Linked DNA regions of Caenorhabditis elegans. The protein of the gene in region 1 interacts with the protein of each later gene in a pairwise test. Each region holds a gene or a part of one and is shown on either strand. Other genes may lie near its edges.

Evidence for each region. The genes of interacting proteins can lie anywhere in the genome.
Region 2: the proteins of gldi-4 (region 1) and mrt-2 interact in a two-hybrid assay, tested with the Caenorhabditis elegans proteins (2 studies listed by BioGRID).

The regions. Positions count from the first base shown.
Region 1 is NC_003282.8:7,016,072-7,020,743, forward strand, and holds gldi-4 (ZZ-type domain-containing protein), read left to right. Parts: upstream 1-1,554; 5' UTR 1,555-1,593; coding exon 1,594-1,795; intron 1,796-2,403; coding exon 2,404-2,627; intron 2,628-2,678; coding exon 2,679-3,749; 3' UTR 3,750-3,763; intron 3,764-3,809; 3' UTR 3,810-4,139; downstream 4,140-4,672.
Region 2 is NC_003281.10:11,745,142-11,750,691, forward strand, and holds mrt-2 (Cell cycle checkpoint protein RAD1 homolog mrt-2), read left to right. Parts: upstream 1-1,624; 5' UTR 1,625-1,821; intron 1,822-1,902; 5' UTR 1,903-1,907; coding exon 1,908-2,006; intron 2,007-2,077; coding exon 2,078-2,233; intron 2,234-2,292; coding exon 2,293-2,433; intron 2,434-2,481; coding exon 2,482-2,562; intron 2,563-3,744; coding exon 3,745-3,834; intron 3,835-3,980; coding exon 3,981-4,100; intron 4,101-4,718; coding exon 4,719-4,835; 3' UTR 4,836-5,034; downstream 5,035-5,550. UniProt on the Caenorhabditis elegans protein: May be a component of the 9-1-1 cell-cycle checkpoint response complex that plays a major role in DNA repair. Promotes DNA double strand break-induced cell cycle arrest and apoptosis, thereby playing a role in genome stability.

The DNA of each region.
Region 1 (4,672 bases):
ATCTCTTTTTTAAAATATGAATTCAAAAAAAAAAACAAATAAACCTAAAATCTCAATGTCATTTTATTTCATCACCTACTCTCTTCAAAATTGGACCGTCGGTGGTCGCTAGTAGAGGCAGCTTTGTGACGACCTTTGGCTAAACTCCATCGTGAGCGCCTCTGGTCTGATGCGCCTCCAAAACGTCCACCACCCCTGATGATTTGTTTATTATAGTTTGCATTGTATTTTCGAATCTTCAGGGTTGTTTGTTCTTGACAATTGCCAATTTTTCTAAGCGAAAAGTTTGATTTAATTTTATTCTACTTGGCAATTTTCAAAAACGAACAATTATTCTCTTATCCAGTGTTTAAGTATGTCCTCTCACTTTTTTTTCAATTTCAATCCCGTACTTCTTCCCTATTTTTGGGTAAATCCAAGCCTTTTTCACTCTCTCTCTTAAATGCAATATTGTTTGGTCATTTTACCTTTTATTGTATGTGTTGTAAAAATAAATTGTATTTTACACCGAAAAATGTCCAATTCAGTGATATCATTATGCATGCACATCTTCCGCGTACGACAGCTTTTCCGCGTGATTTTCTGTGTTTTCTCTGTTTCTAGGCGCTCTCCAAATTTACTTTATATTTTTCCAAAATTCTATCTCGTTTTTGAATACACATATGTAAAACCGAAATAGAATGAAAAATTGGGAGACGGAGAGAGGAAACGAAAACAGAGAGAGAAAGAGACGGAGAGGAGAAAAGGCAAATGAAGGTTGCAATCTGTTTTTACACTTTATATTTAGTCTTTGTTCATTTCGAAATTAAACGCAGGCAGGCGCAGGCGGCCGATTGGAATTTCACGTCAATCCTTCCAAACTAGGTGCTTTTGGTAAATCCTGATTTTCTCTGTGCACAGAAGTTAAATTGTTGTTTATAAACTTCATTTTCTACCAAAAATTAACAAATCTGTAAATATTTGCCCCTATAACGATAATTTTAACAGAGATCGCGGCGAGACCCTCTCAAAAAACAGCGTGTGCCTTTGAACTGTCGCCGAAAAATTATTGTAAATTGTGATTCGTCATTTTGCAAGATGAGTCACTTTGAATAAAATCGTTTCAGCAAAAATGGGGGAATTTTTTACGGGAGAAAAAAAGTCCACAGATTCTCCAGTTATGGTTCATTTCTAATAATAATAGCCCAAACTTAATACCTCATAATCCAATTGACCCTTGTACCCCCGGACAAGTGGGCACACGCTTATCGATTTCTATTTCGAGGTACCACTCATTTCCGCGCGGGGAACACTTTTGTCTCTGAGTCTCCTACTTCTCCTTGCTCTTTTCCCAAACGTTCTTGGCAGAAGAACCTCTATGCATATATATCTTCAATGTTTATAATGCCATTTTCTGTTAGGTTTATAAATATCTTACTCGCAACCTCTCTCTAAAAAACAGGCAAAGAAATTATGCGAAATAGAAATTGCACACTGTTTCAAAATATGTATTAATGTTTCCTTAATTTTTCTCTCATATTGAACTATTTCTAGAACTTCGATAAATAATTCCAGAAACTTGGTATAACTTGATAACTTCCAATTGTCATCCCAATGATACCTTTGTGCCGTGAACATAACAAAACATGCCGTGTCAAGGTTAACTATCATTGGCGTGTATACAATGAGGATATCAACAAGAATGCTGTATTGGAACTCTCATGTCAATGTCAAGTCCTCGATCAACTCAGAAAAACGTTCGTCGAGTTGGGATCTTCCACCATCCATTCGGCTGCTGATTTTGAGTTTAGCTGCAGTAAGTTTTTTTTTAAATGAAATTTAGATGCACAGTGCCTGCGCGAATTTCATTGGTTATTTTAGGTTTTCCAGATACTATTCGAGTTGTTCAAAATAGTATAACACAATAATCAATATGTCCAACAAAATTTGATCAACTGAAAAATTATAATTATGAAAAATTGAATTTTATCTACGCTTCCGTTTTTCTATGAAAAGAAGTTACATCGGCTGACAAGATTTTTGAAGCATTTGGATGTGATTTGACCTGTCTAAAAATTGAGTTTTTGATGTTTCAAAACTATTGTTGTTGCACACACAGTTGACAAAAAACAAAGTAGAACAATAGAGGTTATAGGGAAAATATATCGTTTTATCAAATTTAATCTGAACCCAACCGCAGGTTGCTGTAACTTTTTCCAAAGAATTTATGATAATTTGTTTGATAACATAATTTTAGAAATCGTTAAGAGCAAAATTTTGTTAGTTGAAAATTTTCAAATCTAAATGAGCTAGTATTTGAGTTGTGCTCACTTTAAATAGAAACTACAAAAAAAGAAATACGAATAGAGTTTCAGCTGGCACTATATAAAATGTCAGTCATCTTATACCAGATATGATTTTCAGTTACCAAGGATGGCCCTGTAGTTCTGTCCAGTGGCTATGAGATCTACAACAACATTCGCCCGGAATTGAGCTTTTATCATTCTCAACTTCCTCAGCTATTTCTTCATGTCAGAATCTTGGATGTCTCGGTAATTGCCAAGTTGGATGATTTGGGTCGGACTGTGAATGAATGTAAGGCAACGATGAAATCTGACAAGGCATGGAGAGTTATGAAGGATACTGAGGTATTATTTTTCTGATTCGTTTCCCTTGTTTCTAAAAGAAAACTATATTAGATTGCTGAAGGACAACTCTCACTTCAAGAGCTTCTAGACAAGCAACAACTGGAAATCAAATCTCTTCAAAAGGATATTTCCGAAATGAAGCTTGAGAATCAGTGTCGCAAAAAAGAAGACAAAAACTCCTTCAAAAACAAGGAAGTTCACGAGGCTTCATGTGATAAGTGCCAAGATTTGATTATTGGGCATCGATTCAAGTGTGCTATATGCTACAACTACGATTTGTGCGAAACATGTGAAGCTGCCGGAGTTCATGCTCAGCATGCATTGATTCGATTGGTGTCAGAAAATACTTTGTTCCCCGAACATTTGATTGTCAAAAACCCAGAGGAGGTAAAAGATCAAAACGGTCAAGTTCAAGCAATTGCTTCTTCTCGTGACAGAGCTATCCAGGTTCCTTTGAGGAGATTGGGCATAACCCCTCAAGCCATCGCAACAAAGAACAATGTCTCGAGATATTTGAATGCACAAAGTGATCGAAACATTATTGAGGACCCATGGTATGCTCAGCACATGTCTAGCAGGAAACCGCAAACTTATGAAAGAATGCATCCAAAACTGAAAGATACAACTGATGGTAAAAAAGTTCAAAAAGTTTCTTTCCGCGATCGCTTTTACAAGAAAGCAGAATCTAGCCTCGATAAACACGAAAAGCAACTTCGATTCGATCTTTCGGCTTCACGTCAAGAATTCATCAGAGAAAAGGAAAAGTTCAGAGTTGAAAAGGAAACGCTCATGAAACAAAAGGAACAAATTGAAGAGATGATGAAGCAAGAAACTATAAACTTCGAAACGAATAGGGCTTTCTTTTCGGATCGTTTTGAACCGATTTTTAATAAAGTCAAAGATGGAAAGAAAAGCGAAGATGATACTACAAGAAAAGTCGAATTTGAAGTTGAAACTGCTGAGAGCAACTATCCCGGATCTATTTTTTCGGATGAAGATTCTTTGAGTGATCTTGCTGAAATTCTCAAAGACATTGAAGAATATGAGTGTTCGTCTGAGAGCTCTGATGACCAAGAGAAAGACGATTTTGATGTCGTTGAGGAAGAGGCTAAACAATCTTAAACGTATTGTTGAATGTGAGTTATCATCCCTTGGTTCAAAGATATTTATCAACAATTTCAGATAACAAAAACAGAGGATTCAACTTCCATCTTGTACTCTCAACCAGCACTGTAATTCCAATTCAAAAGGACTTTCCAAACGATAATATGCATTTCAATATTCTCATGAATCCTCCAAATATTTAAAAAATTGTTCAAATTGTTCATAACAACTTTCTTATCAAATCAGAAAACTCAGACTGTTTTGCAGAATTGCAAAAATTCAAATATCTAAATTTTTCCATTGTACTGTCTTATCTTTATTTTTTTATTTTTTCTGAAGTCTAAAATTGTAATTTTCCAATTTTGTGAATCTTTTCATTTCGCATTAATAAAATAAATTGAAAATCAGAATTTAGCTTGCCAATATACATAAGAATAGTGAGACAGGGGAGGATAAAAAATTAAAAAAAAAAAAGAATCTTTAATTGTAAAGTCTGTAAACTTTATGAATTCATTTTTAGATTCAAAATTAAAAAATCAGATCTTAAAAAAATGTAAATGTCAAACAAACCTTCTAAAACGACATACGTTTCTACTATTATCCAGAAGATTAATTTCGCGAGTTTCGTCCCAAAAGTACGGTACCGGGTCTCGACACGACAAAAATCGATGAAAATTCTGCTGCAATGAATTTTTGAAGTTACTGTATAAAAGGCGCACATCCGTTTTTCTGGGAGTTTTGTTTGACATCTAGATACTTTTTAGATTTGATTTTAATAGTCGTTTCAAAAAATATCCAGTGCAATGTATCTAAAAGGATTGTTTTTGCAATAGATCCTCGGTTGAACTTTTGTTTTAAAACGAATTGTTCCAGACACACCTTGTTGACTTGAAAATATTTGTCCTTTTTTTTCAAAATAAACTTTGTACTTCTTTTCGTGT
Region 2 (5,550 bases), on another chromosome or scaffold:
CATCAAAATTTTATAGACCAATTTTCTCGCTTTATAGCTGAGCTCCGCGAGCCAAAATAGGAAGGGGAGCACGAAAAAAAAACAGAAAAATGAGCTCGACAGAGCCCATAGCCTCAAGCGCTAACGAACCAAAAAATGCACACACACACAGGAGGCGGAGTCGTGGAAATTTCGAAAAAAAAAACAAGATTTTCTTCTCTCTCGGCTCAAATTTGAATGCGGAGCAAGAATATTACGGGAACAAAAAATTCTGAGAATGCGTACTGCACAACATATTTGACGCGCAAAATATCTCGTTGCGAAAAGCAAACTACAGTGATTCTTTAAATGACATTTGTAGTGTCGATTTACGGGATCTCGATTTTCGAAATGAATTCATTTATCATTGATCGAGCCCGTAAATCGACACACGCACTACAGTAGTAATTTAAAGGGTTACTGTAGTTTTGTTTTCGCTACGAGATATTTTGTGCGTCAAATATGTTGCCCAATACGCATTCTCAGGATTTTTTGTTAGCGTAATAAAATAACAGAAAACACAGAAAAAGGCATGAAATTTAATTTGAAATACCGCGCTGAGTTTTCTAGGCCACGTGTCGTGTACTCCCCGTGGACAAGCGGTTTTTGCCTTATTTTTCTGAAGTACAAATTCTCAAGTACAAGTAAAAAAGTACAAATTTTACCAAATTTGAGGAAAAGAACTAGCATGACAAAAATAGAATTAGAAAAATTCTAGAGAAAAACTACGGATTTCTGGCTTCCCTCATAAAATGAAATGGAAGAGTTTGCCGAACTAGGCCATTTTGGCTCAGCCATATCTGGAGTAGATTTACGGCGCGTTCCGTGTCGCGGCTCGATTTTAGTTGTAAAACTAAATGAATTTGTCCGTGTGGAGTACACGACTTTACCACGCGTTGTCCGGCAGGCGATTGTCAATGGAGCGCGAAAAATTCAATGCACCAGATTTGACGCGCAAAATTTGAATTTTCAAGTTGTAAATCCCTTTTTTCTTCCCATTGTCCCATCAAATATCCTTCTTCAAAAAAACCCCTGCGTCTCTCAGGCCATATCTGCGGTAGATTTACGGCGCGTTGCGTGTCGCGTCGCGGCTCGATTTTAGTTGTCTGGCGGGCGATTATCAATGAAGCGCGAATAAATCAATGAGGAAGGCCAGAACCCCGTGAAGATCCAAGAAAAGTTTTCTAGGCCACGTTCCGTGTACTCCACGTGGAAAATGTCCTTTCCGGCAGGAGATTGTCAATGGAGCGCGAAAAATTCAATGCACCAGATTTGACCACGCGTCGTGTACTCCACGTGGAAAATGTGGACACTAGGGATCTACTAAATGCCTGGAAAATCGTAAAAATCTCGAAACTTCCTAAAGAAAAAAAAAGCAAATACACAAAAACGCATTGATGTATGAACAAATTGCCCTCCCCGTCTCCCACCAAAAACTCCCAAAAATTGCTCTTTTTTCATGTTTATATGGGGGACCGCGGGATTTCATAATAGCTCCGTGGTCCGCTCAGCTCATCCGGAGCCAAAAAGAGCACACACACACACGCACACATAAAAGTTGTAAACTAGTTTCGAGCAAAAATGATACGACGGATGAGTGTGTCACGCAATCAGTGAGCTTCTCTCGCTTTCGAAAGAAAAATCTTTTTCGCAAAAAGAAAAAGTACTTTACACTGGCCACAGTGTAAAATAAGGGTGAAAAGATCGAAAATCGGAGGTTTCAAATTTGAATTTCCGCGCAAATGAGAGGGACGAGGTGCGATGGCCTACAAAACTCCGCAGGTGTACTCCTCTCGGAAAACGGTGCGAGAATTAATTTTTTAATTTATATTTAATTTTCAGCGATTTTTCTCAGTTTTCCGGTTAAAATTTAAATTTTTTCAGGAAAAATGATGGAATTAGAAACGGGTCAATGCACAATTATGGAATTGAAAAAAGAAAATGTGAAGGAGCTCGCGCAGGTCTTCAAAACCGTCGCTTTTAAGGATGTTAGTGTTGGAAAATATCGATATTAATTTCATTTTTTTTGAGAAAAAATCTAAATTTTTCAATTTTCCAGACAGGAACGTGGCACGCTTCCGAGGCGGGCATGAAGATCACAGTCGACGATGGATCCTATCAGCTGGCCAGCGTTTTTATCAATCCGGCGTTCTTCTCGAGTTTTAAAGTTCGCGAGGAGATAGTTTCGATGAAAATCTCGATTAAATCGATTTCTGTGAGCCTTTAAAAGCCCATAAAAGCCCAAAAAAGTGGCAAAAAACAAAAAAATTCCAGGAATTCCTGAGCATTTCGGAAAACTCGTCGAGTTCTGTAAAAGTCTCGTATCCGGGAATGTTTCAGCCTGTGAAAATGCTTGTTGAAGACGCAGACGGATGGGTGGCACGTGGCAATTTTACAACAACGCTGGCAGATCAAGTTCGCCGGGTTTTCGAAATTCCTAGATTTTTTTTTGTCTATTTTTAGGAGCTCGACTTTGAATTCGATGACGCTGGTGTGCTGGCGACCTATCTGCTTAAAACTCAAGTTCTCAAGGAGATTATCAAGGTTTTATCATTGAAACCTTTAAACATTCGAAAAAAATTTATTAAACTCCAGACATTTTCCAAAAAAAATTTTTTTTTTTGGATTTTCGAAAAAAATGTTTTTTTTTTGAAATTAAATAAAAAACTTTTTTTTTTACTTTTTTAGTGAAAAAACAAAAAAAATCGGTTTCCCTTCAGAAAAATCGGTGTTTTTCGGTTTTTTTCATATTTTAAAACATTTTCTGAATTTTTTTTTTGACTTTTTGGAAAAAAATTTTTTTTTGGATTTTTTCAAAATGAAATAAAAAACTACTCGAATGTCGCAAAAACAAAAAAATTTCTTTTTGTTCTGACAGATTAACATTTTTTGGTTTTTTTCGACTCCAAAAAAAAATTTCTGAAAAAATTAGCTTTTTTGAAAAAAAAACCATTTTTTTTTAAATTTTTTAGTCGAAAAACGAAAAAAAAAATCGGTTTCCCTTCAGAAAATTATTGTTTTTGGGTTTTTTCCCACATTTTAAAACATTTTCTGAAAAAAAACTTTTTTTCGACTTTTTTGAAAAAAAATTTTTCGGTTTTTCCGATTTTCTAATTTTTCAACAAAAAAAGACGAAAAAAACCAGAAAATTCCGAATTTTAGAGCCAAAAACGAACATTTTCCGTTTTTCAATTTTGAAAAAAAAAACGTTTTATTTTTATTTTTCGATACTTTTTTGTCGAAAAACGAAAAAAAATGTTTTCCGTTCAGAAAAATCGGTGTTTTTTGGTCTGTTTTTCATATTTTAAAACATTTTCTGAAAAAAATTTTTTTTTCGAATTTTTCATTACTTTTCAAAAAAAAAATCCGTTTTTGATTGAAAAAACCTTGATATTTTTCCGATTTTCTAATTTTTCAAAATTAAAAAAAACCAAAAAAAAAATCCGAAAATTCCGACTTTTTGAGCTAAAAACGAAAATTTTCCGTTTTCAATTTTGGAAAAAAAATTTTACTTGAAAATTCGATTTTCGCTTAAAAAGTAGTTTTTATTGTTTCAATTTTTCGAAAATAAAAAAAAATCGATTAAATTGCAGAATTTCCAACCCAAACCCAAAAAAATCGACGTCCAATACTTATGATTTGACGCGCAAATTCTAAAATTCAAATAAAAATTCTTATTTTTGCATTAAAAAAATACGAATTTTTAATTTTTTTTCTCTATTTCAGGACTTCGATGACACAAGCCGAACGGTGAGAATTCAATTCACCAAGAATTCACTGTGTTTCACGACTTTCGGTGATGTTGGCGAGACTACAGTAGGATTTTTCAAATTGAAAATTAAATAAATTTTAGGAAATTAAAAAGAAAAAAATTTTAATTTTTTAACTCAAAAAAAAAAAAAAAAAATTGTTTTGAAAAAATATTTTTTAAAAAATTAAAACCAAATTTTTTATACTTTCAGGTATCAATACCGTCTCGAAGCCTTCAAATGGAAAGTGTAAAGTGCCTTGAAGAAGTTGAATTTAGCTATCTTCTGTCGCTTATTCAACGAATGACTACCGCCTTTATACTGGCTACAAAGGTAGTTTCTGGAAAGAAATTTAGCCTATCTGCTAGATTTTTCCTAGTTAAAGTTATCATGGTTCCAGGAAAAATTCATTAAAAATATGAAAAAATTGGGGGAAAAAAAAAATTTTTTTCGAAATTTTTTGAAAAAAATCTGAAAAAATTTGTGAAAATTATTTTCACTATAATTTTTAATTTAAAAAATTGAGCCGATTTTTTTAGAAAAATAAATTTATTTGTGAAAAAATTAATTTTCCTTTCGAAAAATATTTCGATTTTTGAAAATTTTTTTAAATTTGAAAAAAAAAATTTTCATTTTTTTTTCAAAAACAGAAAAAAATTTCGAAAAAAATAAATAAAATGTCTAAAGCATTTTTAACGATTTTTCCAATTTTGCAACAAAAAATATCAACATTTTTCCGTTTTTTTCCCCGAAAAAAAACCCCAAAAACTCCAAAATTGGCCAAAAAAATCGAAAAATAAATTAAAACGTTATGCTCCAAATCAAATTTTAGTTTCAAAAATCGAGAAAAAATTAGAAAAAATGTTTTTCTTCGAAATTTTTTTTTCAATTTTCTAAAAAAAAATGTCTCGAATTTTTTGATGCAAACTTTACAATTTAAGTTTTTTCCAGCTCATCCTCCGTGTCGACGAGCGTGGCGTCCTCTCCTGTCAATTTTCAATCGATCACGGCGAGGGAAACGCAAGCTACATTGAATTTCTGACGGTGCCCGCTGATGAAGAAGAATAAAATATTATATACATTTTTAATTTTTTTTTAATGTTCGATCCCCGAGTTTTGCAACAAGTGTACCCTCATCTCCCGGGTATAAAAACCCGAAAAACTGCACCGAAACGCACGCAAAAAAAATTAATATTTTCTTCTTTTTCGTGCTTCTTGCAATTCTCGCTGTTGATTTAAATTTTCAAATAAATATTGATTTTTATTACGAATATTGCATTTTGAAATGAGAAAAATTTTTAAAAATTGGGTTTTTTTTCAGTGAGTGTCTCGTCGAATAAAATGCTCGGTACGTAGTACACCGTCACGTCAAAATACACAGAATCGTGGATTTTTTTCAAAAAAAAAACAAGGATTTCTGGCTTCCCTCATAAATTGAAATGGAAGAGTTTTTGCCGAACTAAGCCATTTTGGCTCAGCCATATCTGGGGTAGATTTACGGCGCGTTGCGTGTCGCGTCGCGGCTCGATAGTAAAACTAAATGTATTTATCCGTGTGGAGTACACGACACTTTCCCATGCGTTGCCCGTCGGGCGATTGTCAATGGAGCGCAAAAAATGCAATGAGGAAGGCCAGAACCCCCTGAAAAATCGATGTGTTTTTAGGATTTCTTCAAATTCTAATTAATTTTTAGAGTTTTTTGCCGGCAATATTATGTGGAAAATGAATGCAAAACTTCTTGTAGCCCTAAAAATCCCCAAGTTTGTGTATTTTTAAAGAAAAT